Linked DNA regions of Cricetulus griseus. The protein of the gene in region 1 interacts with the protein of each later gene in a biochemical or structural test. Links are inferred from orthologs where the notes say so. Each region holds a gene or a part of one and is shown on either strand. Other genes may lie near its edges.

Region 1 (3,522 bases):
GCCTGCTTCTGCCTTCAGAGTGCTAGGATTAAAGGTGTGCACCTGGCTTCACCTTTTAATTTTTATTGAGACAGGAACTTGCTATGTACCTCTGACTAGCCTGAACTAAGTAGACTAGCAGTCTAGTCTTGAACTTGCAGGGACAATCTTAACTCTGCTTCCTCCTAGGATCATAAGCATATACCACCATTTTCAGCTTCCAATTTTTTATTTGACATTGAACCCACTTTAAACCGAACAAAATAATACATATTACAAGCAAACAGAAAGTAGCTTATAGGGTTTAAAAACTCATGGTCCTTTAACAGCTCTAAAACTAATTACTATTTTTTTAAAGATTTATTTATTTTATTATGTGTACAGTGTTCTGCCTGCATGTATAACTGCTGGCCACAAGAGGGCACCAGATCTCATTACACATGGTTGTGAGCCACCATGCGGTTGCTGGGAATTGAACTCGGGACCTTTGGAAGAGCAGGCAGTGCTCTTAACCACTGAGAAATCTCTCTAGCCCAACAAATTACTATTGTGGTAATAAGATTTTATAAAATTGGCCAATGTTGGGACTGGAGAGGTGGCTCAGAGGTTAAGAGCATGGACTGCTCTTCCAGAGGACCTGGGTTCAATTCCCAGCACCCACATGGCAGTTCACAACTGTCTGTAACTCCAATCCAGGGGATCTGACACTGTCACAGACACACATGTAGGGAAAACACCAACGTACACAAAAATAAATATAAATTATTTAAAAAAAAAAATGGCCAATGTTGCTGGGTGGTGGTGGTGCATGCCTTTAATCCCAGTACTCAGGAGGCAGAGGCAGGAGGATCTCTGTGAGTTTGGGACCAGCCTGGTCTACAAGAGCTAGTTCTAGGACAGCCTCCAAAGCCACAGAGAAACCCTGTCTCAAAAAACACAAAAACAAAAATGGTCAATGTTAAAGAACTTTCGTAGGCCGGGCTTTGGTGTCACACACTTTAATTCTAGCACTCAGGAAGCAGAGGCAGGTGGATCTCTGTGAGTTCAAGGCCAACCTGATCTCAGAGCGAGTGCCAGGATAGGCTCCAAAGCTACACAGAGAAACCCTGTCTCGAAAAACCAAAAACAAGGAATGTTATACCACTGATAGGATAAGTGATAAATGAGGCAGATTCATAAATGCTGATATTTATGAGTTATAGCTCTAAGTGAAAATAACAACAGTGAGAACAGAATGCCCATGCTCTGTAGAACATGTTGGCCTTTATCTCAGAGAATTGCCTGCCTCTGCTTGCATGTACTACCACTACCTAGCCTTAAATACATTACTTTAAAACAAAACAAACAAACAAACAAACAAAAATCAAAACATTTCCACCAGAAAAAAATGTTGTACATACATCTTTATTGGCCATAACAATATCCAGTGTTGAACTGGCCACCATGGGAGAATGTCTGCCATTATGTGGATTTATGTAGTTGTGAAGATCTTCCATCACATCTGAGGAAAGATAAAATAAAAAAGGAAAGTCAAAACCACTTAATGCTGTTTGAAAACAGTGGCTTTCAATTCTTGTTTTTTAAATACCAACCCACTTCAGTGCCTAGCAGAGAAAATATTCAACAAACATACGTCTGTTGAGTTCCTATAGGATAATACTTTATATATATAAAGAAATAGTCTTTCAAAGAAAATTAATGTAAGCCAGGCGTTGGTGGTGCACACCTTTAATCCCAGCACTCGGGAGGCAGAGGCAGAGGCAGGCAGATCTCTGTGAGTTGGAGGCCAGCCTGGTCTCCAGAGCGAGTGCCAGGATAGGTTCCAAAGCTACACAGAGAAACCCTGTCTCGAAAAACAAAACAAAACAAAACAAAACGAACAGAAATTCAAGCCAGAATAATGACATATGCCTACAATCCCAGAACTTAAGGGATAGAGACAAAAGCATCGGGAGTTCAAGGCTGGCCTTGGTTACAAACTGAGTTTGCAGGCATCCTGGGCTAAATGAGACCTTGTCTCAACATACACCACACACACACATGTAGCAGGTCAGCTACATGGAAAAGCAGGAAGTTCTAGTTTACACTATACCACTGAGTTGTTTACTGCCTTTTAAAATAAGATGTAATCTTTGAAACTTATGTAATTATTATTCCTATAATGTTATGACAGCATTAAATTCTTTAAAATGTTGTTACTCCAGACATACCACTGAACACTTTCTTTGTTTCTTTGTGCAAGTTAGACACAGCAATCCTTGCTGCTAAGATGGCATAGTCAGGGTGCTTCGTAGTCAAGGTTGCAGCTGTCTCAGCAGCCAGAGTATCCAGTTCCACTGTGGTGACCCCACTATACAGGCCTTGGATTACTTTCATGGTGATTTGAGCCTACAAAAATAAAACCAATAGTTATTTGAGCTTTCCCAAGAAACAATAGCCTCCTTAAAATAGTTAAGTTATAACATAATCTCCTCATTTGAAAACCATTATTTATCCCAATGTAAGAATCCATAAACCAACAAAACTACCAAAAATGTATCCTATACATATAAAATAGAAGTTTAGTTTTTCGAAAGAGTAAGTACATGCCTCATGCTAACAGATGGCAGATCCTCTGGGACTGGAGTTACAGTTGAGTTGTCATGTGGATACTGGGAATTGAACTTGGTTCCTCTGGAAAAGTAACCAGTGCTCTGACCTGCTGAACCATCTCTCCAGCACCCACCTCACACATTTTAGTTTTTGAGTCAGGGTCTCTCATTGATCCTGGAGTGCACTATCTGGACAAGATAATATACCAGTGGACTTCAGGAAGCCCCCTGTATCTGCCTTCCCACAGGCATGCACTATCACATCTGACTTTTTCCATGGGTGCTGGGAATCCAAACTCAGGTCCTCAGGCTTACAAAGCAAGCACTACCAACTGAGCCCTCTCTTCACATCAGTATAGGCTCACTCACCCATGCAGGTGCATGTGGAGGTCAGAATGGATTTCAGGATTCAACTTGCCTCTCTCCTTATTTTTAGTTCAGTAAAGACCATTTAAAATTGAAAGATCAATAATAACAAAAGCACAGAGTATATGAATAGCTTTGTTTTTTCACTTTTGTTTTCAGACACATTTTTACAAAGTATCCCTGGCTTGCCTGAAACCAGATAGTTTTTATGTTTTAATTGAATTATTATTACAATTATTTTCTCCCACAGTAATAAGAATAAATGAACAAGGAATGAAGAAAAAAACAAAAAGCAAACACACACACACAAAAAAAAAAAAAAAAACCCACACAAGTACACAGTACACACAGTCAGAGGAGCCAGCACGGAAAGCACATGGACAGAAGTCTCACTGTGACAATGTCTCCTTGAGTCTGGAGCTTGCCAATTTAATGTGTGCCTGGGATCTGACGCTTTTATGTGCCCAGAGCTGGGGTTAAACACACTGCTGTACCCAGCTTTTCCACATGGGTTGCAATCCAAACTCAGGGTCTCATGCTTACAGAGCCCACCATACATTTTAAAGAAAAATAAAATCTAAGTTGT
Region 2 (2,276 bases), on another chromosome or scaffold:
AAAATCTGAAAAGGAGCATCGAGACATCAATGCTGAAAACAAGTCACACACACACACACACACACACACACACACACACAAAAGCGAGGAAGGGAAGACCATAGAGGACACTTTACCTTGTTGAACCCCAGCTCTAGCATAAGCCTGTCTGCCACGAATTCGATATACTGCTTCATCAGAGTGCAGTTCATCCCGATGAGCTTCACAGGCAAGGCCTCCGTGAGGAACTCCTAAAGGCCGAGCAAAGCTTGAGCACCCTGAAGCCCCAGGAACCCCCTTCCAGCAAGAGCAACCCACCCACATCACCCACCTGCTCTATCCTCACTGCGTTGGTTATTATTTCTTGTACTCTCTGCTCCGATGGCTTGTGTACCAGGTGCTTGAACATCAGGCAGGCAAAGTCACAGTGTAAACCCTGGAAGGGAAAGTTCAAGATCACTGTGAGGCTGAAGACTCCTACTGTTCACATGTGTGGATGAAAATTGCTTTATATATCTTTGTAGTCTCATGCAATTTTTCTGGCCACACTGAGAGTATTTGGCTTGTCAAAAGGAAGCCTGGTATGGTGACATACACCTGGCACGATCCCCATGAGTTTACATTGTTCCAGACCAGCTAGACTACAAGACCTCCAAAACACAAAACAACAAAATTGAGGAAAAGCAGGTGGCCTGGGCATGGTGGCACAGGCCTTTAATCCTAGCACTTGGGGAAGACAGAGAAAGTCAAGTCTCTGTGAGTTCCAAACCAGCATGGCCTACAGAGTGAGTTCTAGGAGAGTTAGGGCTGTAAAGGAGAAACAGGCTGTTAACAGTTAAAAAGGTGTTAAACTGCCAATTGTGAAAGCCAAGTAGGCTATCCCAAATGAAGGCCCTCAAAGCTACCCCCTACTATAGCATAGGAACAGGCCTATACCCTCTGATAACCAAATCTTTGCTTAGGTTTCTCCACAGCTTTGAGCTCCAGTTCTCCTTAACAAGGAGGGTCAGTTAGCTTTTCGATACTCAGGAATTAGATAGTTTCAATGAGGTAAACTTGTGACTCTTAGCACACCATTCTCTAGTAAGTCTCAGGGCTCCTCATTCCACAGGGAGATAATCACCTACCCTGCCTGCTTGCCCACTGGATCCAGGGGTGGTGGGGTGCCAGCCCCTGTCTTTCCTCAATCTACTTCAAGCACCTACAGGAGCCTTAGGTCATCAGAGGCCTTACCAATTAACTTGGCAGTACAAAGACATACAAAGGATTGCTTATGATATCCTAAAAATCCTATTCAGAGATCTCAGCTTTTGCATTCAAGCCTACAGGACAATAGGAATATGTGTACTAATTATGGGTAGTTTCAATACATCACTTAAGGTATTTTCTTCCTTGCTGAGTATATGGCATGATTGAGCTCACATTAAATGTGGTGGATATGGGGCTGGGAATGTGGCTCAGTGGCACAATAATTGCCTAGCAAGCATGAGACCCTGGGTTGGATTTCCAAGGCTTGACATGGCTCAGCAGTCTCGAGGAGCATTTACTGCTCTTGCAAAGGAGCCTGGCTCAGTTCCCACCACCTACACGGAGGCTCACAACCATATGTAACTCCAGTTGGGCATCCCACATCCCCCTTTGTCTTCTGCAGGCAAAATACTCACACATAAGGAATGCATCCTTTGAAATGGCTACGCCTTCTTAAGCCCCTGTCAGTAGATACAAGAGCACATAGCTAGGAGCCGAGGACCAGTTATTTTAGACTCACCTCGTCTCTGCTAATGAGCTCATTGGAAAAGGTGAGGCCGGGCATCAGTCCCCGCTTCTTGAGCCAGAATATTGATGCAAAAGAACCAGAGAAGAAGATCCCCTCCACGGCAGCAAAGGCCACAACGCGCTCTCCTATAGGGCAAGAGGCAACACCAAAATGTTCCTAGTGAGAGCTTGGTATTCTTAGTGTGGGCCAACAACCCAGTGACATTACTTGGACAAGCAAAATCAAGCCCGGGGCTTTAGGAGAAAACAAAGTGTCCTTACCATATGTAGCCTCTTTGTCCCCAATCCAACGCAAGGCCCAGTCAGCCTTCTTTTTCACACAAGGCATTGTTTCAATAGCATTGAAGAGATATTCCCTGCAGGCAGAAGTAAAGCATGAACTATGATGCCACAGACCCCTGGCATCACAATCGTGCTCTATATACATATACACCAGCACGCCAGAAGAGGGCATCTCAGATCCCACTATAGATGGTTGTGAGCCACCATGTGGTTGCTTGGAATTGAACTCAGGACTTCTT

What was found. The genes of interacting proteins can lie anywhere in the genome.
Region 2: the proteins of Rrm1 (region 1) and Rrm2 form a complex in vitro, tested with the Homo sapiens proteins (3 studies listed by BioGRID and IntAct). The link is inferred for Cricetulus griseus from reciprocal best matches to the Homo sapiens genes RRM1 and RRM2.

What each region holds. Positions count from the first base shown.
Region 1 is NC_048596.1:96,938,241-96,941,762, forward strand, and holds part of Rrm1 (ribonucleoside-diphosphate reductase large subunit), read right to left. Parts: intron 2,368-3,522; coding exon 2,190-2,367; intron 1,481-2,189; coding exon 1,380-1,480; intron 1-1,379. UniProt on the Homo sapiens protein: Provides the precursors necessary for DNA synthesis. Catalyzes the biosynthesis of deoxyribonucleotides from the corresponding ribonucleotides.
Region 2 is NC_048600.1:26,960,965-26,963,240, forward strand, and holds part of Rrm2 (ribonucleoside-diphosphate reductase subunit M2), read right to left. Parts: intron 2,112-2,276; coding exon 2,017-2,111; intron 1,882-2,016; coding exon 1,748-1,881; intron 416-1,747; coding exon 311-415; intron 231-310; coding exon 117-230; intron 6-116; coding exon 1-5. UniProt on the Homo sapiens protein: Provides the precursors necessary for DNA synthesis. Catalyzes the biosynthesis of deoxyribonucleotides from the corresponding ribonucleotides. Inhibits Wnt signaling.